Drosophila melanogaster: one gene and its partners. The protein of the gene in region 3 interacts with the protein of the main gene of each other region in a pairwise test. Each region holds a gene or a part of one and is shown on either strand. Other genes may lie near its edges.

Region 1 (6,544 bases), on a different chromosome or scaffold from region 3:
GCCGCAAACCCCCCCATGAATAACTTTACACATGCAATGGATATGGATCCGCTTTACGAGGAGGCCATCATTCCATTCTAACACGCTGTTGACAAGTCGAGCCTGCTACCGAGCCAGAGGCGATGTTCTACGTGCCCGAAACGAATGCTGGCGAAGGGATGTTCGTTGGTTGCGCAGCAGAGGAAGGGAGCAAGGAAGATGAAGTGTATAGCTGGGAAAATCGAATTCGTCTCGGTTGTTAGAATGCAATTAGCCTGGGGCACACTTGGTATTTGCTTTGGCTACCAAAACGCCAGGATTTTGATGAAATTATTTACGTGTACATCTGTTTGACCAAGTTTCCGGCTCCGGCATTGTATTTCGGTTTTTATTTGGACTGTAACGCCGCCCGAGGGCCTTTAAAAAAGGACTCTCATCGAGTCCAGGACAACACTCAATGGAAAAAGCAAACGCATCCGCACTTCAATTAACTGCCTAATTGATGTGCATTGTGGCTCTAAAAAACCAAATTAGCTACACGCGGCGGAGAAGCTTTGTAACATGGATGACGACGACGGCGACACGTGGCTGCTGGTGTGAATTTAAGTGGCATATATGGGATAGATTTTCTTCTCATGTAAGAAACATTGTTAGTAGTACTTAGCTCTTATAAAGATATTGATACAAACTACCATTAATATTCTGTTTAAAACTTCAATATAAATATATTTATATATATTTATATATATAAATATATTTATATATATATAAATATATTTTATAAGTTACGAAAACACTCATTGTACTGATCATACAAGAAAACTGATTAAAAAATAAATAAATAAGTATACCATTAAGTATTTGTTTATTTATATAAAACTATCTTGGTTTTGAAATCTATAAGGAAATTAATCAAACATCAGCTCTACTTAGTACATTTTTCATAACATACTTAGCTACCTTATAAAGCACTATTAAAGAAAAAATTGATGGTGTCACAATTACTGAAGCAAGGTTTATATTTTTTCAACAAAAGCACTCAATTCATTTCCATTAGGAGGAACTGCCTGAAATGTGGCATATTACTAAATTAGCCCCCTCGACACTCAAGTTCTCACTCGTGCTGGTAATTTGCGGCAATTGCCGCATATCATAACAAATCCGCACGTGGCACCCGTCGCCCACTTGAAATTGCAACTCCGATCCTCCTTTAACAGGATTGCCACAGATAGGAATCCCACATCGGCACACTTTGCCACTTGAGCAGCCGTTAAGACCGCGGCACGTGGCAACGCCTGGGTTTTCTACCAGGAGGATGGAGTCCTGTGGGAGTGAGAGCTTTCCGTTGAATACACATGTTGCTTTTGGTAAGTGGAGGCGGCATCCTGGCCACGTGCCACTAACCCGTTTAGCGACAGGCGTAAGCCCTAAACGATTATTGCGGTTTAGTTGCGAAAGGCGAAAGAGTTGATGGTAATTGAATCTTTTGAATTGCAATCGCATTATTTCGATGTGGCGATAAAACAAAATAACAATTTATTTAGTCCACGAAGCACACATACTCTATATATGTAGGAAAGGGTAAGAAATCTTTTAGTACGGAAATGGATTAAATCTCGTCCGAAAATTATACCTACACCGAAAATATAACAAAGTCGTAATGATCCGAAGATATCATATTAAACAAAAGTATTCCCTATTTCAAATAATTTTTGGATTTATCCTTAAACTAAGTGATTTTTACAAAATATATAATAATATAATATTTCTTCTTTTAATTTAACTATAATATAAAGCATATCTTAAATTGACCAACAATACTACTCATTCATTAATATAAATATAATTAAGTTTAAGCTGTGCAGTAAGCACATTGTATTTAAATAACCCTAGAGGAAGGGTATGACTATAGAGACGAGCTTTGATGATGCCGTTGGCGACACCGCTGATCCTCGGACGCAGACATCCTTCCGATTGGCCTAGAGAGCACCGCTCGCAGCGAAGCGTGAAAAATGCTCGTATTTTGACTGGTAGCGGCGGCCCGCAGAACGAATCTCCATCTCCAGGAAGTTCACCCCGCTGCAGGCAGTTCTAGCTAGACGACGTTGGTGTGTGAGTTGGCAAAAGCCACCCCCGGGCGGCAATCACGGCGCATATCTGTTGGGATTTGTGTCGGGGTTCTGTGCTCTCTACTTTGCGCTATGGCGCCGCCACGACCGACGACAATGCGCCGAGGGTTGATGCCTGTTAGTCCGGACCCAAATCAGCGGGCTTAATGGCTGGCCGGGCACATAAAACCGGTGCGCACTCCTCGCCAGCTTTTAGTTGGTGCGGGCACGCGAGACGCGAAGAAACAACTCTCTCAAAGCGGAAATCGTAAATCGGAAATGTGCTAAAGGATATACACACCGTGATACAGATACGAGATCATGGCCGCCTGCTACAATGCCTATAGCGCTGGATCACAGTCCTTCGAGTTCGACGAGGACGACGACGACGCCTCCTTCGACAGTGGCTACGAGAAGAGTTTCGAGACGGAGGCCCAGTTGAGCTCACGACGCCGCTTGGACTTTGGCACTCCGCCGACTCCGGCGATCCCGCAACCGTACTCCGGCGGCACCTGGGACGCCGTACCGCTCAGCTCACCGCCGGCGGGCTTCGTGGGATTGCTCGATACGAGCAGCAATCACAGCACTCGGAGCGGCAGGACACTGGTCGAACATCTGAACAGTCGGGCCACGAATGGCGTCTTCGATCCGCCATTGACCAGTACGCCGGTGAAGTCGCCAGAGGATCCCAATGCGCCGCGACCGAAACGCAAATATGCCGTCGGCAAGAACAGAGTAACTCGCTCGCGCAGTCCAACCCAAGTGGTGAAGATCAAGCGTTTCCGCCGCATGAAGGCCAATGACCGGGAGCGGAATCGGATGCATAACTTGAATGATGCCCTGGAGAAACTACGCGTCACTCTGCCCTCGCTTCCCGAGGAGACGAAGCTGACGAAGATCGAGATTCTGCGATTTGCGCACAACTACATCTTTGCCCTGGAGCAGGTGCTGGAAAGCGGAGGTTCAATCAACCTGGATCTGGAGAAGCTGCAGAACTTCACGCTGAGTGGTGAGAGGATTACCAAGGAGCTCTTCGATGCTCTTTTCGTGAATCCACAGCCGTATCCCTTGTTCGGACGAATGTTCCCCTATGGACAGGGAATGGCGCCTCTTGCACAGCACCAGACTGCTCCAGCATCGCACGCGGAGCAGCCGCCGGCGATGGGTGGCTTTCAGCACGGCATGGACTATCCGCAGCAGCCACCAGGATTCGACTTTACAGGCAGCATGCGGTTTTACCACCAACAGCAACAGCAGCCGCATCAGCCTCACCATCTGCAGCCTAATCCCCAGCAGGAGTCCAGCCCGCAGCAGTTCTCGCAGGAGAAATACGATCTGTTCAGGGGATCCTTCGATGCAGCTGCCAATCTTCATTCTACGAACTTGGATTCTGGGATTCACCAGCAGAGCAGCTTCTACTCGCAAACACCGCCATGGAAGGACTATCCGGAGGATCAGGCACACGTGCATCCCGTTCCACATCAACACAGCTACAAAAACTTCGCCCCGCAGGTGTAGCACAGTTTTGTGGGCCAAACTACGATCTTAGGGTTTTCAGCGTGATATACTAAAAGATTGCCGGAAATTGCAGGAAACTGATCAAGGGGAATTCCTCTAAGCGATTTGCCCTTGACTTACTTTAAAAACATAACTAAAGTAACTTATGGGTCCTATCTCGGGATTTCCCTTCCTTACTTTTCTCAACTTTCCTGCAATCCGTTGATATTGGTAATAAGCGAGGCACCTAATTGACTGCTAAGATTATCATCAAGTTTGAAAATGAAATATCTTTAAAAATTGTATATTTCACACTTGCGCTAATCTTTGAACTCAATTAGTTTCATGTTATAGAGGGATCCTCAATAGATTAACCAATTTAAAGTCAAACATCCAAAGTTAAGCTTCACGAACTCATTATTAATTCATATGAATTCCCATTATATTTGTATTCATTGGCTTCCTTCTTGCGGATCTCTGGTGAATATTTGAATTAAAAGTGCTTAGGGTAATCAATTTTCCAAAAAGCACTCTTCTTCTCAACATATTCGCATTCTTCTTGACTATATAGTACAAATCGGTTGTCCATTTAGTGTAAGCGATACGTACCTTGCCATTCTAGATTTAAGACCTATCTATAAGGATTCTTAAAATGAACCAGGTATTAGCCATAATTAACTGTACAATCGATTAAGTGTATGTAGGTTATGCCAGATTCTATATCAGTTATTGCAATGCAAGGAAAGCGAGCTAGTCAGGGCCAGAACTTTAAGGTGATAAGATTGAATTTCGATGTAAAACCATAAAGATTTATTTTTGCAAATAAAGTTGACGATCAAAACGAGCCAGAAAATGGTTTTGCGAGTGGGAAGAATGGACGAACTCCTGGACAAAGTCAAAAATAGTAGCCAAAGCAAACAACCCTGGAATCAGTGTACCGCTGTGTGCGGATTTCAGGTCCCAAACAAAGGACTTAAATTCAAATAAATATTGTATATTGCAGGGCACATAAAACGAATGGCTTTGTGTGTGTGCACTGCAGCTTGTTCTTATCGTAGGGGGCACTTTTCGCCCTTACAATTCGACATGGGGTGAGTTCAAGTAGAAACCGAACTCGAACTCCCGGCTCGGCCTTCATAGCTCGAACAATGGAAGATTGCCGTCACCTGCCACACAATTACAAAACGAATGTACCAACAGCAGCAGTCAGGACCAAACAGGGAATCCTGAAACATGAGCTGTGAGCCAGTGGACCTGCATGAATGCCACTCAAATTATTTAGTTGAATGAACCGAACCGGCAAGAGTCGAGGGAAATGCTTTACTGCTTTACTGCCTAACTGGGTAACAACTGACTGACTGACGTTTTCCGTTACGAGAAAAGGGTAAAAAGGTGGTAAAGATGCTGGAAAGCCGGTGAGGAATTCGCAATCTCAACTGAAGATTACAATAAGACAGTCTTATCCGTTAATAGAGCTGTCATACTGCAAAGCCTTACATTCAAAGGTTTTAAAGTTTTAAAAAAAGGCGTAGGTTTGCCTAATGCAACGTAAATTGAATATTGGGAAAGCAGGATATCTTTATCAGCAACTTGTATGATTTAATTTCAAATATCAACTACTAACCACCACTTTTAACAAAAAGATTTAAAATTACATATTATTCGTATGCATACTCCATTAGAATTTATATTCATCATTCAAATATCTTAGAAATAATTTTAGGTCTAGCCATCCTGAGCATTCAACTATGTTTAAGTTAACTAGATATATTTGCTGTCGGTAAAAGATTCGCTCATGGTTAGTTATTGGGGTTATAAGCGGGAATTCGTCAGTTTTTCCACAACTAAGCCGGCGTTTGTCATTTGAGCAGCTTTGTTGGAGGTGTCGGGATTTATCTTTGCAATAATCATTATTATAGACCGGCATGGGTCCTGGGTTCTTTGGTCCTGTTGTGCTGCAAAGGCGCAAATACGCAGCGGGTGAGCCAGCTAAGCTGCATTCAATTTCTGGGACCCACTCGCCTCTCCTCGAGGGTTGAGGATGAGGATGAAACCTGGCCCGGATGGGACTCGCATCATTAGCGGACGGGGTGGCTGCGTTTCGATGGCTATCGGCGGATCAATGACGACATCTATGCCCTGACTCCCTTGCCCGAATGCTAATGCACTGCGAGGCTGGAAAAACAATTTGGCGATGGCCATAAGGCGATAAGGCAACCAAAATGGAAACAAATTGCCATGGACATGCTAAAAGGCGCAAACACAATGGATTGGCATCTTCGGCTGCGGCAAGTGCAGGTCCTTGGAGAGCGATTCATATGCGGTCCGATGAGATTGCACAAAGGACTTCGGCTGGGTCGACTAATGGCGGAGGGTTCGACTTGCAGATACCTAACCAAATCAAATTTCTGTGTAAATATACAGGGATTAGTCCACACGGAGAAAACACAAGGGGCCATTTCATACTCTTCCCTATCAAACCGAACACGGAAATAAGGCTGCTTTCTTTGAAGTTTATTTTATCAATTTATAGTATAGATTTATTATTATTTTCCATCAACTTGTATTTTAGATTAACTCAAGCATGAAGAAAAGTAGGTTTAACTGAGGACTCTTCTTTTTTTGTAAAAGATGGATAAATTATCAAGCCATTTGTTTAAAAATTTATTTTATTTGAGTACATGAATTAAGGTAATGTGAAATTTTTATGTGCATTGTCGTTCCTTTTGGTGTTCTAAAACCTTATTTTTGGTTACTCTCAAAGACTTGATGAGAGTCAGAGTTCAACCCTTGGAATGGAAAGCATGAAATATTAAGATCATATATCACACCGTTCCTGACGACACAGCTCCAATTTGTACTTGCCCTTTTGCGATTCCCATTTCGCAAATCGAATTTTATTTGCCGAATTGATTGTTTTACGCCTTTTTAGCAAGACGTTGGCACACATTTTTTTAACC
Region 2 (5,840 bases), about 18 Mb from region 3:
AAATTGACAAAGACATGCAAGTGGCTGCCGCTTCTGCCACTTCTGCCACTTCTGCCACTTCTGCCACTACTGCTCCTCCTGTTTTCCGGCGTGATGTTGCTGCTGTGTCGGCGGCACTGCCAAAAGCCAAAGGCCGAAAGCTGAAAGCCGAATGCCGAAACGCAGTGAGCCAGTAAGTCAGAATGCCAGAACTCGACTGGGGTCGAGTTGCCATTCATGAATTCTAACTAATTGTATTGGCAGGCAGTTGCATTTTGGAAGCTGGATCTGAATTCGAGGCTCCGAATCTCTGCTGTGCTGTGCAGCTGCATGCAGGTGGTAGCTGGAGTAGCTGCTCGGGAATAACGACCGATATTGGCAGGAAGGCCTCTCTTCCCGCATCACGACGGATCGCACCCTTTTGTTGTGCGTGGCTTTTGAGATGGGGGAACCGAACGGAGCCGAACAATTTGTGTAATTGACAAATTGACGGCAGCGCTTTGTGCGGAAGCGTTCAAAGCCGTAAATTGTCGCTAACAAGAGCGACACTCCAGGGATATCGGCAGGATATCGCCTTTATGCCTCGCATTCGCGCCTATACAAATATAATTGCCTCAGCCGCTGGAAAAGACGCCTGGGGAGACGCCCGCACCTCGCGATCACTAAATTAAGTCATTAACAATTTAACGAAGCCCTGTCGATGCCGCGCTGCCGCTTAACTAATTATGTGAATTTCCTTTTGATTATGTGCCCCGAAATCCGTGCAGCTTTTGCGGCGACGCCCGAAAATGATTTTGCAAAACAAACAGTAACAGCCCACGAAATCCGGTCGCTGCCACGCCCCCACCCTCGCTAGCCGCCACCGAGCGCTCCAATTCCCATGCGGGAGTCGATCGAATCGCCGGCACTCGGGCGTTGCTGTCGCTATCAACAAATTGGCTTCGAATCTTACGAATGATTGACTGACTGACTGAATGACTGACTGACTGGGCCGGGGATCTCTGCTCCGTTTTAAGCTGAATGATATGTTGCACTGCCAGAAATCGTCATAGGATTTATTTATTCAACAGATCCAAAAATATCATCCATCTAATATCACTAAATAATATATTTAATTATATTTTAAAGGGAATGAATTCTGTGTAGAACTAACTATAAAGGTTTGCTTTGATCCTATCTTGTACTATATACATTTTATTATATTACCTTAAATAATATTATTTATTACATTAACTTATTGAACAAAACTTCTTCAACACCTTCTTGTTTTGCTGAGTGCACAGTTTCGGCTTAAAGTCTTAAGCCGCTGAGTTTATCCGCCAACAACGATCGGGGATCGAACTTCGTATTAAACGATTTGTGAGTGGCGCTTGATTTTCGGGGCTCGACTGGGACTTCCACTGGGATATGAAGTTGCAGAGGTTCCAGGGACAGCGACGGACAAATGGACATACGGACAAGCGGACATACGGACATTGCATGCGACCTGCGACTGCTGAAAGCAGATCAGCCCAACACTTAACTTAATTTGGCAGCTACAGTCCGGCGCGCCGTGCCGTGTAATTATCGTCCGCTGCGTATTTGTTTTGGCCAACCCGATTAAGAGGGGCCCTAATTTTGTCGAACTGTCTACAAATTGATCGCGAAGCGCCAAATCGATCACCTTCCCCCATATAATAAAGTCCAATTCACTGTGTGAGAATTGATGCCCCGCCGATAAGTGTGGATATCGAGGATTGGGGAAACAGAATTGTTCAGAGATGAAAGGATTTGGATGGCTTGGAATTTTTGTATTTATCATTTTGCATCTAGGAATTGTTGCATAGCTACTAAAACTGTTAGAAAGTCCCCGTTAACAAAAAACGAACATATGTTTTAAATTATTAATGGTGCTTTTATTTTGTCTTCCTTAGTCTTAATCATTGTCTTCCATTTAGGCTAATTAACTAAACAATAAACAGCATAATACTTAAGCGGTAATTCACTACTGGGCTCCAGGCAATATATACAAAGTAGCTACAACATTTGGCAAGCTCCAACAATAACTGAGAATAGTACTTGGGACTGGGATCGGGATCCGGGAATTCAGCGCAGCAGATCCCCGAGAGCGGATATGTAGGTCTGGGCCATTTGGAGGGTCTCGTGTTTGGACAGCTGGCGATCGTTTCCCAGACAGGGAAGGTACTGGCGGAGACGATCGAAGGCCTGGTTGAGGTTCTGCATCCGACGACGCTCACGTGCATTGGCGGCCAGGCGACGCTTCCTCTTCACGACGGGTGTGATCTGCTTGCCACGCCTCTTCTTTCCAGAGCCTCCGGCAGCGGCATCTTGGTTCTCACCATCGGCCAAGTCAAAGGATCCATCATTGCCATCGAAGTCCTCACCGCCACTGAAGAGCATGAGGTCCTCGTCATCCTCGACGCTGTCATCGAACAAGGCGGAGTTGTCAAAGTCAAAGTTCTGGAACTCCTCCGTGTAGAGATTCACTGAGGCAGATGACTCCGCAGCTGCAGTCGGTGTGGAGGTGGCGGTGGTGCTTGGCTGGTTCTTCTTGGTATAGCTACGCTTCGGTTTCGGACCTGCTGAGGCTGGAATCGTTTTGCAAGTGCCCACGTTGGAGGAGCCCATGACCTCCACTGCCGGAGGAGAGGCCACTGGAATTGCAGGCGCTGTGGAAACAACAGACTGCTCCATAATCATTCCGTATTGTTGGTTCTGGGCCATGTTGTTGCAGCCTCCATTGTACATGGTATTGAGATCCACATACTCGGGACTCTCAGATCGGTGGCTAGCCGGCGAGGAGGAGATCCAGCCATCGGAACTGGCCTGCTCGAAGCTGATGAAGCCATTGGCCGACAAGTAGTTGCTGCTGCTGGCCAGGGTGTTGCCATTGAACTGGTAGTGGGTCACGCCGGGATTGTAGGCTGCCATGGGATTGAAGTACGGCTCGGCGGCGGCTGTCTTGAAGCCCTGCAAGTCCTCGGAGGTCTTGTAGTAGTAGCGATAGATCTCACTGGACGACATGTTGCTGCTGCTGTATGGTGGTGTTATGTTGCTGGATGAAACGATACGAACGCTGCGAGTGCTGGCGGGTTTCTGACTGGTCTCTCGTCCTTTCGGCCCTATTTATACTCACAAATCCACCACGACGGTCAGAAGGGCCTGAAAGGCAGGTAGGGGGGCAGGTAAACGAGTTGCCACAGAAGGCAGCACGTGCCGCCCGAGTGGCACGACCAATGGCAGTTGGTGGTGAGTTGCAGCGGTCTCAGAGAGCCCGGTTATACCTCAGTTCGTTGCGAGCTTAAAATGGCGCTAGAAAACCGACTATCTGGGCATCTAAAGCCGCTAACAAGATGATTATAGGATGGCCGGCACAACCGGAACAGGAATATGGGCGGAAATGTAAACAGAACTTGGACAAACAATCGATTTGAATCCCTAAACGGGATTAAAGTCGACCGCAAAGCGAAGCGAAATTTGCAAAAATCCCTTGGCGATTTGTCAGCACCAAATGGCAGAGCGGGTCTTATGAGTTTATCTAATCTGCATCGGTTGCAAGTGGGTTCGATCTACCTGATCACGGCTAGGGAAATCCTTACAAATCCACCGCCGCCGGGTCATTCGACATGCTTACCCAAAGTCGGGGGCGGAATATCGCAATGAAAAATCTTGTTTATTACAACTTGGCAAATTTTCCAATTGATACGCTTGTTGCCGGTACCATGAAGAAGGTAGATGATAGCGCCGGCCCTTCAAGGACACGCTTGACCGAGTGCCAGGACTGACCTTCACCTTAGCCCTCGTCGTGCCTAATAAGCGTGGCAGGCAGTAACTAAGAGCTGGGTTAACATTTTAGCGCCTTGCAATTAATACGGCCGTGTGTTCGATCGTGAGCAGGGAATTTAGTTGTAGATCCCAGGATGACACAGCAAAACGAAGCGTCCACGGTGGTCCTTAGATCCCTTCGCTACGCCCCTTAATCCTTAATGATTCGCTGGAAATCATAATGCAACGAATTCTACATCAACCACTTGCGGGGGAGTGTTCGGGCATCTTTGAAGTTCCGCGGCCACCCAGTCGCACAACTAGTAGCACGCCCCAAAGGATCTGATCTTTTTGCCGGGCAATAAAAACGCTGTCAATTAGATAAAAATGTCACACAACAAACCGCACCAAGAGCGGCACCACCAATTTATTGGACGCACACAGGCATGTTTGACCTTTTGTCCACCCCTGAGAGACCTCGAATGTCCTGAACGTCCCTCGTGAATGTCCTTCCATGCAATTTACGAGCCACTTGCCGCAACAGACAGTAGTTACACCTGCAATATGTACCTGTGCAGATCGTATCCCTCGGATTGCATCTCCGCTGTAAAGTTTTTCGCTTATCGGCATTAGCCGATGTCAAGGCATCCGCTGCATATCGATTGGGAAATTTACATTTTCATTGCCGCATCGCAATATGCACGTGCTGCCAGTCGAGGGGGCAAAAAGGGTCATTCCAAGTCAAGTCGAGTTCTTTTTTCGCCAATGGTCGGCATCGGGCGCCTTGCGTGCCTGTCAGTTATCGAGTGGCTGATCCCTCACATCGGACCCACATACCTTATGAGTACCAGTACCTCCAATACCTCAGCTCCAGCTCATTGGCATCAATACGCTGGTAACGGGCCACTTCTTTCATGTCAATATGCATAAATGCAACTTGGCCATCGATGGGAATGCAACTGATGTGGAGCAGCTTCCAGAAAGCGCATGACAAAGCCAATTGAATGGGTATGAATCTGCTTGGGTGAAACATGAAACACTCTTGTAGTCATATCCAAATCATATTCTTATATTATCCTAGAAAAACCAACCTGTATATTCTTGAGTGTAATATAATATGGTGAATGTTATAATTGTATATTGGGTTTTTTACTAAACTCTCAAATCATGTATTAGTTACTTAGGCCATTAAACTATTGACGCAGTAACTAAATTAATTTAGTTATTTTCTACATTTTGTTAAGTAACCAAATTGCTGACTAGCCGGCCTAATTCAGTATACTCTTTCCAGGACTCTCTTCGGCATGAGGAACGTGTAGGCGCAAGAGATGCCAACAAGAGGAAAGTAGGCTCACGTCAACGACTCCCATTAGCAAGTCGCTCTGGGCCGTGAAAGTGTTGTCCAGATCCATATTTATATATATCCAGACCGAATCCCAGTCCACCAGCTCCTGCTCGACTTAAACGTCTTCGGCCCAGTTATTTTTTTTAGCTGAAATTGAAAAATTTGTATGTTACTTATTTTATTAGCATTTAACACTCTGTCCCATTTTGCAGACGAGAGCGAAAAGCGAAAGGAGCAGGAGTCTGGACACGGACATGGACATGGACATGCAATCGGCATGGCATGCCATCTCCGCAACTGGGGTAGTTCCCATTCCCCCAGTTCCGTGCACGTGGGTGGCCTGGCCCCAAATCGAATCCTGGCCTCTTGTGTGGCATTTCGGCAATTGTCAAATTGAAAATTCATTAAAGGCAAATTAAATATGCAAATGCAGAAGGACCAAGTCGAGGAGGAGGAAAGAGCTCCCCTTGTTATGTGAGACCGTTGTTTGACTTGGCTCTGCAAATATTGACCACCGATTGGGGCGGTGGAAAAATGGAAAATATCATATGTACATATGCTCCTCGACGGGGATAAAAAGTCAAGTGGAGTCAAACATTGGACGGGATTCAGTTGGAACTGGCTATCATCGCTGGGAGCTGATCAAAATTGCTTAAACAAATATCGCATAAATTGCACATTGTACGAAGTGGCCGGAAAATTGTGACGGCCATGGGTTAATTCCCATGAAAATTAAAACTAGATTATACAC
Region 3 (5,381 bases):
CTTACTTTAATATGGCTGCATTAAACCTTAGCGGCGTGCGGAGTATTATGACTGAAGTAGGTGGCCGGACCCGCGGTGCCTGCGATTGGGGGTCCACCGACACACAGAGGTCACGTGATGGATGACGTGTGGGCTCTACTGTACCTCCTGTCACAAGATACGAAGTGGGTTGGGTGAGGTCGAAAACATGGAATGGGATCATTCAATAATTGCAACCTTTGGTGAAATCTTCAAAAATTATTGCAATCGTTATATGCTGTTTAATAATAGCTATTTGCAAGCTACAGTGTAGAATTTACGAAATATTCTAGTTATGAGCAAACCAATTTTGAGTCATCATTGGCTTTTGTTCCTGAGTTAATCAGGTATTAGATAGATATGGAAATGATACCCACTCTGAAGTCAGCAAACATCACATTTAATAACCTCTTATGAATGACGCACGTTTCGGCAATAAATGAAAACCAAAGCCGACAAGCTGAATGGGAACCCCTCTAGATCAGTTTCGCCAACGAAGCCATCCAATTAGCCCCCGGCAATGGCCAACATTGCGGCACTTAGTCAATCTTGGAGTGAACTGATCGCCTTTCAACTGGTCCATCGCAAAATAGATCACCCATTTTCAGCAGACTACCGTTGAGCCCTATAAATAGCCGTTTTGTAGTCCACAACAAAAAAAAGCACAAAATAAGCGGAGAAGCGCTAACTTGGCCGTCTCGATGCCAATGTTACGTGACTAATAACATTTTCTGAAGATTAACAGCAATCAGCGACGGCTTGAACGGTCCCAGACTCGAGACGACCTGGTAAGTAGTCATCATCATAGTTGTCCGCCAGACAAAGGCGCTGAATCCGAGGTTCCGTAATCGAACCGCACTCCGATACACATACCCCATACCCCTACCCCAATCCCAGCCCCTATCCATACCCATACAGTATTGGAGTTTTAAGACTTAAGTGCCGAGACGGTCGCGGTCGCGGGCTTAATTTGCAATGTCTGACCGCCGGTCCGTCCGCGCATGTGCCAAGCGGTCAAGCGCAGTTAAAGCTGTCAAAGCCTGAACAAAAAAAAACTAAAAAAGAGCAAAATCTTAAAAAAAAAGCGAAACACAATGACCACAATGCTGAGCCATTGACAGCGGAGCCGCGGTTCTCACACTCGGCGGGCCTCATAATAAATGCCGTTTCCTAGAACTGACTTTTTGCTTTATTTTATTATTTAATTGCGACAGCGCCGGCGCAAAACTTCCCGCAGATATACGTATGTATGTTGTATGCCCCCTGAAAGCCCCGCATACCCTCGCAATCCGAATTCTCGGGGCATAATGAGGCCAAGCCGGAGAGACCAGACGATAGTCCGAGTGTGGGAAAATATTCAGCGACTTCCGGCTGTGGGCTCTGCGATTCGGTTCACCACGGAGTTTATCTCCAATTCGTTTCTTGTTTTAAGGGGTTTCTTTTTTTTAGTTGCTTTAGTTTGCGGTTGGACGCCCACTAAATGTCTGGGAAGTCTGAGTAATCAGCTCTATGGGAAATAAGTAAATGCAGAGATTCTTGAGTTGGAATTTCATTTATTTTCATTTCTTTATGACTTTAAGAAGTGAGCAGCAGCCATCTCTATAGCCGAAATTTGAGGCTCTGCTAGAGATGATCGGTGGCTCTGCTGGGCTGCTGGGAAAGCTATTCCTGGGCAGCAATTGATGATCTCCAAGGAGTTCGGTGCGGTTTCAAGTCCAGCACCTCTTTGGGGCAACAAATTTGTAGAAGCCTTCCGCTTGAAGGCGATTCAGGTGAATATCATCCGGAGTCCAGTTGATCACCAGGGACGCCACATGGGGCCAGAGGTGGAGCTGGCCTCGCTGGGCGCCGGGCTGCAGGCTCCGCTCTCCAAGCTGTCGCATTCCGAGGGAGGTGGAGTGACCATAGCTTGATCCTCTACTGGAGCTTGAAGAGGCACTCCAATGGGCAGCGAGGGAACCACCACTTGCAGGTAGTTGAGACGATGGCCAAGGTGACTCATCAGCTGGGTGCCGAGATCCACACTCACTCCGGGTACAGCGGCCAAGGTTTTGGACACTTCATTGGCAGCATGAACGTAGCCAGCACGGAAACTCTCAGCGATGCTAAGCTTGGGATCGGCACTCGGAGACACTCCACCGGTGACGCTGGACAGACGCAGCTGCTTCTGGGCACGCAGCTTCTTCATGTGCTCCACGGTCAGCTCCAGGATGTCGGCCTTCTCCAGCCGGGTGATGTGCTCGCCCTCCTGGGTCAGGCACTCCACCATGATGTCCTTGAGCTCGTCCAGGCACTTGTTAATCCTGGCACGGCGCTTACGCTCCAGCATGGGCTTCATCACCTTGCGGTACTGATAGGTCTTGGACATCTCCATTTCCAGAACCATTTTGTTGTAGTTTGGTTTTGTTTTTTTTTTATTGGGGGTAAAGTAAACTCGCGTAATCCACAGTCGCAACGTTCCACTAGATTCGGACTCGGAGACTCTGTGTGCACGCAACGAAGTCGGAGCTTTGAATGAGTCGGCTGGCTCTGGGATCGGCTTTATATAGCCTCTGCCGCCCTGGGAACTGGACAGTGAGTGCGAGCGGGACACTCATTTTGCCTCGTGCGCGGCCTGCTGCTGTTGCCAGCGGTGGTTTCAGATGGCTTGGTGGTGCTTGGTTGTGGTAGTGGTGGTGGTGGCTTCTGTTTTTTTGTATACTTTTGCCTGTATATGTGAGGGCAATAAAATGACTTGAGCGGGCTGCGCCTTCTCGCTCTCTCTCCCTCCCTCCTTATGTATGTGCTGTGATTGTTATACCGTGGGAAACTGTTTCGCAGCCGATTTCCACGACGACGACGATGACGACGGCTGGCCTGACTTCTTCTGATTGTGCATGCTTGGGGTCTTGTACGATCCCTCGTCCCTCGTCTTTCCGTCCACCGTCTTTCTTGAGCGGACGGACGGATGGACGGGCCGCCTTTAAGAGGTCTGTGCGACTTGGGATCCCAGATACGATGCGAGGCGAGCACATGCCTTCCATCCATAACAAGATGTTTGCATTTCAATTCATTTGTATGGTCGACTATGGTCGGGGTCCGGTCTTTTGGGCTTCAATTCGGTGCGGTTGGGTTCGGTTCGGTTCGGTCTCAAGTCTTGCCATGTGCCTTCACCCTTTTGCAGTAGCTTATGGCACGCTGATAATTGTGGAATCGTCATCGGGCCAACCCGAGACGGGCCAGTGTTTCTGTTTCTTGCTTTTTTGTTAGCGCTTTATGGATCATTGATTGGATCGTGGTAGTCGTGGGTTTCGTGGGACGAGCATTACGCTTTTCGTTTACATGATTATTCTTGATTGTCGGTTGGGGATCGTTTGGGGATCAGCTGCAGTTCGGTTGGGGGTTTTGGGTTCGCTTGGGGATCTTGGGTCGTCGCTCGCTTCTATTTGTAGACAATTACCATAGCGACTTCGGGCTGGGAACCGATCGAAGTCGACGTGTGCGCGAAAGTCGGTTACAATCGTAATGGCTGTTGCCAGCACACGCTATAAATGTTATGGCTCGTGGGCTATACGCGATATATGTATATGTATGTATACACATTTAGCACATTCGGTATTTATTTTTAACGCTATATCGTCGTGATTCATCAGCTTGAGATGCTAGATCTCCATCCGCCGGCATCTGACACATCTCGGATCCTAAGCTCGGGTTTCTCAACATTTAATTAGAAGTGCCGGCGACGATGACGCTCGCTGGCGTTCATTGAAAATGACACGAGCCCGGCTCATTGGCACACAAATAAGGAATAACAAAAGCTCCGAGACGGCAGCTACTCGATCACTATGTGTATATAAATTCAAACTCAAATAAGACAAATTAAGATTGCCCCTCGACGCATTCGAAATGAGCTACAGTTAGCCGAAACAAAGCAGCAACGGTGATAAACGGGCCAAGACACAAACGGCTAACAACTTATCTAACCGAAACGTTTTGTCCGCTGGACCGGGACACTTAAACTGTTGATGTCAAAAAGCTGAATGCTCCGGAAATGCTTAATTGGATTTTATGGGTCGGCAGTGTGTCAAACTGTTCGTCAGAGGGTGGTGGTTGCATTTTTGGGGTGAGTTAGTCGCATGATATTTGCAACAACCAATTAAGAAGTAATTCATATTGGATTATTAAAGAAACAATACTATAAAAAATATGGAAAAAATATTTCAAAAATTTAAAGATTTTTAAAAACAATTTAGCTACAATTGTAGATAACACGTTAAATTAAGAAATATTTTGTAATAACAATATAATCCATTTATATAATCCATTCATTCAACTAGCTTAAATTAAAAGCTAAATAGTATAGGGGCTCCAATTGTAATTCGGAAGTTCCAATTTTCATGTAGTAGCTATAAATGCCTTTAAACGCCACTGAAAGACTTTTCTAGCTTAACAACTGAATCACTGTCGTAACTCGAATCATTAATACCAATTGTAGCAATTAGAGGAAACCCAGTGGACGAGCACGTGCCCCCAATAGAATTCATCGAGTGTGCCCCTATAGCTTGAAATGCAGAAACCTAATCTGCTGCCCATTCCGAAAATATAATATGGAATAATAAGGTAGTTATTTCACAAATTTCATCAGATTCTGCAATGCTCGTTGGGGTGTAGCGCATATGGTCAAGTCGCTTAAGACCAACTGGCCTTTATACACCCAATCATCCAAAGATACAGCTACACATACAAAAAAACATATATCGCGAAGACCTCATTTCTCTCGGTTTATTATTTCTCTTGCTTGCTTTTTTTTAAATTTTGTGCTTCATTTTTTTTTTGTCGATGGCATACGCACGCGCGAATTTCAGTGCCCCCGCGGAGTTGAGCGATCGCCCGAGGGGGTGGAGCGGTAAGGGGCGGGGCACGAGAGCGTGCAAAACTCGGAGATGGAGACCAGAGACCCAGAGCAACAACACCAAGCAGTGTGTATGGCCATAGCGTGTTGTTGAATTAATTTATATCCAACAGTGCGCTTTCAACTTTATTGCGCCGCGAAAAGCAGCCAGCCAAGTCAGCAGTCGTCGGTGGGGCTGCCCCCTCTCAAAAAGCCCCCCGCTTAAGCCCCACTTGAAAGCCCCCCGCAAACCCACAGATACACCACAGCTCACAGATACAACGCACACCAAGGCAACGCCAGACCGTGGGAAACAAACTCGTGCCAGTCGTTTCATTGCTGTCAAATAATATCTTGATGGGGATCAACTTGAAAAGATTGGTTGGGGCTTGGGCCCGAGCTCAGTCCGCCGCTCCGGGTCTCCGTGTCCGTCCCGTTGGCCCTCATTCGCTGGTTGCCGCTGTTTAGGATGCGGTCGACGCTTTTGTGTTTT
Region 4 (6,961 bases), on a different chromosome or scaffold from region 3:
ATTTTTTTTTTCGTGTCACCTATCTCAATTACGAGATCCATCGAGCCAACTCGGATTCGGCGGGTCAAAGGCAGCATCTGGTTCCCGGGATAACTGCAGTGCAATGTGCCCAGAAATTGGATAGTCAGTGGATCAGAGAAGTAGGGGTGAATCCAATCAAGTCAGCGGCAAGAGCATGCGCACACGCTAAAGTGAACTTAAAAACAGACGGCATTCAGTAATAATGCATTCATAGAGGCGTGGTCTAAATGGCATAATGGGGGCACAACTTAAAGCGACTGCAGCACCCAGAGCTACGAAAGCAAATCTGCCGATCGAAGGATACGATAGGGCTCATATTCCTTATCGGTGCTAAGCCTTTAACATTCACCAAAAACACAAACAACAAAAAGACGCACATAACGGCAATGATTTCCCAGTTCAAACAGTAAAAATGCGAAATTCGACCCAAACTCGGAGGTGTACGGTTGAGGGGCGTGTCGCATTACCAATATTTAATAATTATAACGGTGCGTGAACAATTTTCACTGCTAACGGTGAACGGCGCACCCACCACACGACCAAAAAAAGAATGATAGGAAAACACCTTTGCACCTGGATGGAAAAACTGAAAACTGTTGAAAAAGGGGGTTGCAGGCGATCTCAGGCGCTCAGGAGCGCGCCAACACATACATATACACAGCGAAAAAAAAAAAATAGTAATGGAGGAAAAAATGCCTCGCCTTGTAATTTCGACCTCAAAATAGATCGTGTTGTTTCCTCAGTGTACTACTTAGATTTCTTTGGTTTTCGGATCCTGCAGATGCGAATATCATTTGGCACAGGCCATCTATTCTTAATGGAAAACGATTTCAATTGATTTTCCTTACAGTATGCCTGTCTTATGTAGTTTTGCATCATCCATATCCATTGGACCGGCCCTTTCTTATTTTTTTTTTTTTTTGGTTTTTCTTCCGTTTTGTTTTATTTGGGCAGATGTCCCAAAAAAAGGGACGGGTAGAGAGACATGAGAACACGTAAGCACAGGACAATGAAGTCCTGAGCACAATTGGCAGGAGAGTATAGCGCCAAGTAAAAGTGAGGGTGAGTAAATATCGTGCAAAATAAAAGACGTGCGTGAAGGCTTGGCAACTTTGTATAAAAAAATATATTACCATTCCCTTAAATATCATTGAAAATATTTTCCAAATGTTAATGAGGGTCTGTGTGGTGAGCATGACAAGGTTTTAAAACAACTTCAAGTTTGTAGCCGCTATTGGAATTTCAAGCTGTTTTGGCTTTTCACTTCTTGACTTCTATGAGGACAGACAGACTAGACTCTATTTTTAAAAGCAATTCGTTTGATTTGCGGTTGCCGGTTAGGTCCTAAATAATAGTTCACCCTAAAACCGCTTTCTCTCAATTTCCCTAATATTTATTTTGGTGCGTTTTTAATTACTTGTGTCATTATGAATCAAGGCACATGTTTAAAAAAGAACCGCTAGAAAAAAATCCGAATTCTGTCATTCTGTCACAGAAGGAACCCCATTTTGAATATCGAGTCAATAAAGCACCGGAGATATACTGTGCCATAAGACACTCTCTAAAATATAAAACACCTTTTTTTCTAAAATGTGGTACAAATTATAAATTGTCATTTAATATACCTAATTTTCGTTGAGAAATAAAACCACAAGAAACAAATTAAGTTTTTGGAAATGTTCATATTTATTTGCATTTATTCAAAAGCATATATTATCTGCTTGTCATTTTAACGTTCCTACAATTAAATCTATAAAAAAAAAATATGGTTACACAAATACATTAATTTTTGTTATATACTAGACACTCTGTTAGTCCGGCTCAACATTAAGCCGTTTATCAGGATAACTATTTTGTGGTTGGGTCTTACAAGGTTATTTCCATTTGGTTTATATCACTAGATGACTTTAAATATGTAGTGTTCATACATTCATTTTGTCACACTCTTTCAGAGGATATTATAATATGTCTGAAGGTAGCAGTGAGGCATTTCCGACCCCACATCAATAAATATTCATGATCGGCATGTCTGGTGATATAAAAGGTGACTCGGGCAGGATCGATCAACAATATCATACGTACAAGTACCATAGCAAGAATCAAAAATGTACATATATTTTATAGAATTTGGAGAATATACAAATCTTGATGAAATCGTAAATTTGTGATAAACTTCATCGAAATTGTGCGAACTTTCATATTAAATACATGGTTTTAACAGCAAAGGTATATAAGCTTCGGCTGGCCGAAGTTATCCTCCTTTCTCGGCTTAAATTGATATTTACACAATGACTCAGTCATGGCTTGATTAAAAAAAACTTTAGATAGAATGGCCTGCCACAGACTTATGCTGTGAGGATTTAAAATCATTTAAAAAGTATGCCAAAAAATGCAATCGGCTTTTCCGAGATGCGTGATGTGAAAAAATTCGGCTAAACGGACAGATTGGTGCATGCACCATTAGATTTAGGTGCATGTGCCTCCCACCAGTCAATGGCATCGATCATGCTCTCGTCCGAAAGGCAGCCAGCGGTTGTATTGTTGGGCTGATCTTGCTGCAAAATATCGCTGAATTCCTTCTTGAATCCGGGAAGGACTACGTTGTCGTAGAAGCTCACGGGCTCCTGGTCGTAGAACGCGGGTAAAATAGGCGACGATCCCAGGTTCTGAACTTGCTGCTGCTGCTGCGGGGAAGTCTGTGCGTTGCTGCTGCTGCTAATGTTGGTACTGACGTATTCCTGTTTGATTACTTGCTGTTGCAGCGGTGTGGCACACGTCTGTGTCTGTAACAGCAATTCAGTCGAGGCGACAGGTGAAACTGGAGAAGAGCAGGGACTTCTTACCACCTTTTGTGGCACGGGCGATCGCGATAACTGGCCCGAAGCAGCTGTTTCTTCAAGTTTTTGCTCGTGACTCAAATCGCCCAATAAGTCAGTCGTCAGCAGTTGGTAGGTGTTGGTTCCTGGTATTCTGATGTATTGCAACCCATTTAATGTAGTCAAACTAGGCAGGAGATCACTGGCTTGCGGAGGGTTTAGCATATCCTCGGATAAAGTTTGTTGGACAGTCTGTTGCTCATCCATTTCGTAGTTGCTCAGCGAGTCGTCGAAATGTTCATCCAGACAATCGAATTCGTCCTTAATAAACATAAAGCTATCATCGCCGGAACCAGAACTATTCCCCTGACTGTTGAGAGGTGGAAAATCAAATCCCAGCAGTTTTTCCAAACTTCTTATGTACTCTACGGCCATGCGGAGGGTCTCCACTTTGGATAGCTTCTTGCTTGCTCCTCTACCCGCCCCCTGGGCCTCAAAAGCCTCAGATACTTCTTCTGGGATCTTCTCCCGGAGTAAAGCAAATCCATTGTTAACCTGCTTCACGCGATTTCTTTCCCTAGCGTTTCTACGGGCAACGGCTTGTGGCAAAGGCAAACCCTTTCTTCCAGGAGTCCCAAAACTCTGATCGCTTTGGCTTTTATGAGGGTGGCTTATAGTTCCTGCTTTTGGGGGCCTTTCAACCGCCAACTTCTTGTTGGTCTTGCATTTTTTAGCAGGCACTGATGTTTTACTAAGCTGTTGATTCTGCTGGTTGTGCCGGTTCTGCTTTTGGGATTCTCCCAGGGGCCTCTTCCGTTGACTGGATATGGGTGTGGTGTTAGTTGTGCTGGCTGCGGCACTTTGAACAGCGCCCAGCATGCCAAAGTCCCGGATCTTTCGAATAATGGTGTTCTGATTGGCTATATGCTGTTGCAAGGCGTTGGCGCCACTCTCACTTAAAACATTGTGAACGGTAATCTTTCCAAAAGGTTTCAACGTGGTTTTTATTCCTGGATTGGGGTTTTCCTTGGGGTTTTCTTTTGGAGGAGGTGATGGGCTGAAGCTTAAGGCGGCCATAATTAAGTTTTTTGATTCGTGGCTTTTTGAGGGCGGGAGAAAAACTGGTGGCGATTGCGGGTGTACTTTTAGCAAGTTAGTCCTTCTTGAGTGAATGTTAACTGGTGACTGATGTAATATGGTTTCCGTGTCCTTGCATCAGGACAGCTGCTGGCGCTCTGTGTCGCGTGCCCCTAAACTCCGAACTCAAACTAAAACGCAAACCCAACGGAAGTGACTTCGTTGACTGACATACACAACACAGAGCACACACATACAAAACAGAAGGCATTTGAGGTCCTGCGTATCCCTTATGTAAAGGGCCTGACTTTTCATCCCCTAGACTGGGTGTCCCTTCTCGATCGCTCACACATACACCTTTATCATATATATATATTATATACAGTACGGCTTTTGGGAAAACTAACATCTGATCAACTCGAGCCAAAAAGTCCACCTGGTTCAAGGGTGGATTTCGCCACGCTCTCTCTCATTATTTATCGGCAGCAAACACATTATGCTTATATACCGCCCCTATTAATATATGGACATTATAATAACCATATACGTATGCATATAATAAAAAGTATATTCCCTGGGGAGCTTTTTCAGCCCTGGTTTTCAAGGAATGCCCTACCACCTAGGAATTTGCAAAATATCCTAATAGATCACCTTAGACCTCCAATATTCGTCATGTAAAACGCAGAAATGCATCGAATCTTTATTTTTAGCTTATAGCTAAAACCAAGGACTGGTTTCTACTTCATTCGAAAAATGTCTCGGGATCACCTATTGTTAACTTTTCAAAAACTCGTACTGGATAATATATACATATATTTACCAGGACTTGCATTGGCAAAAACATTTTCCTATTGTTAAGCTAATAAACAGCAAGTATATACTGCGAAAGTAATGTCTTAGGTAATTCACAGGGCTACAATTTATGTTGGAAATTGACAAGATGCCAGAGAGCCAATTTAAATCCTTTAAGGGGTGAGAAATCACCCATCCTTCTCTACATTCTTGTTTTTTCTACGTCTGGCAAAAAATTTCTGGCAATTAGTCCGGTGGGAAAATAATTTTACCAGTGCTTTATTTCTATAATCTATTCTTTTTTTTGGAGCTTAGGTCTATCTGTGCAAACAAGTTTTCGAGTGCTACAATAAACTTTTTTGATCCTTCCTCTCAGGTAGTTTCCAACAAACCTGAGTAAATAGAGGAGTATACATATGTGTGTGTGTTGTACTTGCTGCACAATTTATAAACTTGAGTTCACTTAAAAGGTTCAAGGAAAAGGACTTGAGCGCAGGATAACCGGCGGGGAGAAGAAACTTGCGACGACCGACTACCGGTTTTTGATCCAGGATGCCACGTCCTCATTCCTCATTATGCAGACGAGCTCTCAAAGAAAAAGGAGTCAACGCTTGTGCGTACTGAGGAGTATTTGAGTACTGGGAAGTACTGCTCGGCGTCCTTTGTTGTCCTAGAGGATTTGACTCGGTTGCGTCCCACTTTGACGACGCATCGCAGCACTCATCTCAAGGAACTGTTCCTTGCCCCAGCCACGCCTTTCGTGCACTGCAAGAAAATAGTTCATAATTAAATTAACCATACATAAAAGTAGCGATTCCAAAAATATTACATGTAAACGGTTTCAAAAAAGTTTTGCCCCAAGACGCGGCATACCTTTTCGAATTTACTCCCACGTTCGTAAAATTAAGAACCTGCGTTGTAGTCCTGTCACTCTTTTTTTTATATATTTTTTTGGCTGTTATCTTTGGCGGATCGAAATGTTCCAATCTAGGCAAATACAATTTATGAATGGTTTCTGGTTTCTGGTTTATTTGCATTTTAAAAACGCATTGATTTCAATGGGAAAATATCTTTCGACGAGAGAAACGCCAAATGGTAATGAAACAGATGAGTAAACGGAATTGACGCTAGCGTGGAAACATACTGGATCCTCCATGATTTACTGAAACCTGAAGTCGTTCTATTTGGCTTGACCCTCCAAAATCGTAAATCAATCTGCCAACGCATGCAAGTCGCTTTGATTTTCCAAAATTTAAGTTCCCTCTTCTTTTTCCATTTTGTAACCGGAGAAAGGCGCCGGGTGAATATGTCCTGGGCCCATATTCTGTGTGTACTCGTCGTTGACTCAAGTGGATCCTTTAGGATGCTTCATCATTTAGCATCTGTGCACAGTTGTTCGTTCATAAATTGTTTTACCGCTTCTTGTTTTTTCATATTATTATTTCGTCTTTCGAGTTATGAGTGTTGAAAACTTGATGGAACGGAAGTCTTTCCGTGGAAGTCCTTGAAATAACTTTGGAGTCAAGCACTGGGGGAAAAGTGAAAGGACCCCAGCCGAGAACTACACAAAAGGACTCGCTCTACGGGTGAACACCATTTTTGGGACATTGTTTAAGGAAATGTTTGTGACGATGCCTTCTAATTATTACATATTCCCCCCATCGGATCGTGAACGAGTTACAAGTGACCGGTGTACAGATATGTAACTCTTTCTAACTATAAACTAAATAAAATTAGCCAAAAAATTAAGGAAAAGAGTTACTCCCGAATCATTTCTGCTATTTATTTAGCGGCAAACTGTGTCCCGTCCTTGCAGCAAAAATGAGCGGGTGCGGGCTGTTTTAATACCTCTTTTAAACAATACATGGGGAAATAGCGAGTTTCTATTTAAAAACTGCATTCGACTTTAAAGTGAAACTCACAATTCACGCTGATCGGAGTGGTAAATTGTTTTCAGATCGCGCACGTGCCTTGTGCTCTACATAAATGTGAGTGAGTGTCTGTGTGTCTTCTACCTGAGATCCTACACAGAAAAAAACCATCTTGAAATAAATGTGGTGAATCATGCAAGAAATAAATACGCATTCCGTCGTCGTGTTCTTGTAATGGATCTTTTTTTGTAGCCGGATTGGCACGTCTTTTCTTCTTTTATAGTGATATCTAATATTACAAGCATTATTCAAATTTTTTAAACACTTATATTTTTGTAATATATTTATTATATTAACTAAGGACACCATCTTATATTAATCCAT

Evidence for each region.
Region 1: the proteins of E(spl)mbeta-HLH (region 3) and tap interact in binary tests that used the Drosophila melanogaster proteins (3 or more experiments, as listed by UniProt).
Region 2: the proteins of E(spl)mbeta-HLH (region 3) and ato interact in a two-hybrid assay, tested with the Drosophila melanogaster proteins (one study listed by BioGRID).
Region 4: the proteins of E(spl)mbeta-HLH (region 3) and ase interact in a two-hybrid assay, tested with the Drosophila melanogaster proteins (one study listed by BioGRID).

What each region holds. Positions count from the first base shown.
Region 1 is NT_037436.4:17,357,385-17,363,928, forward strand, and holds tap (target of poxn), read left to right. Parts: upstream 1-2,297; 5' UTR 2,298-2,408; coding exon 2,409-3,605; 3' UTR 3,606-4,427; downstream 4,428-6,544. Other genes in the region: CG7692 (uncharacterized protein), read left to right, coding at 1-81. UniProt on the Drosophila melanogaster protein: May play a role in the specification of the sugar-sensitive adult gustatory neuron and affect the response to sugar and salt. Regulated by POXN.
Region 2 is NT_033777.3:8,275,289-8,281,128, reverse strand, and holds ato (atonal), read right to left. Parts: upstream 3,078-5,840; 5' UTR 3,004-3,077; coding exon 2,065-3,003; 3' UTR 1,855-2,064; downstream 1-1,854. UniProt on the Drosophila melanogaster protein: Developmental protein involved in neurogenesis. Required for the formation of chordotonal organs and photoreceptors. Seems to bind to E boxes. Specifically required for the photoreceptor R8 selection.
Region 3 is NT_033777.3:26,003,490-26,008,870, forward strand, and holds E(spl)mbeta-HLH (enhancer of split mbeta, helix-loop-helix), read right to left. Parts: upstream 2,535-5,381; 5' UTR 2,405-2,534; coding exon 1,817-2,404; 3' UTR 1,557-1,816; downstream 1-1,556.
Region 4 is NC_004354.4:457,909-464,869, reverse strand, and holds ase (asense), read right to left. Parts: upstream 4,124-6,961; 5' UTR 3,915-4,123; coding exon 2,454-3,914; 3' UTR 1,694-2,453; downstream 1-1,693. UniProt on the Drosophila melanogaster protein: Involved in the determination of the neuronal precursors of optic lobes in the central nervous system.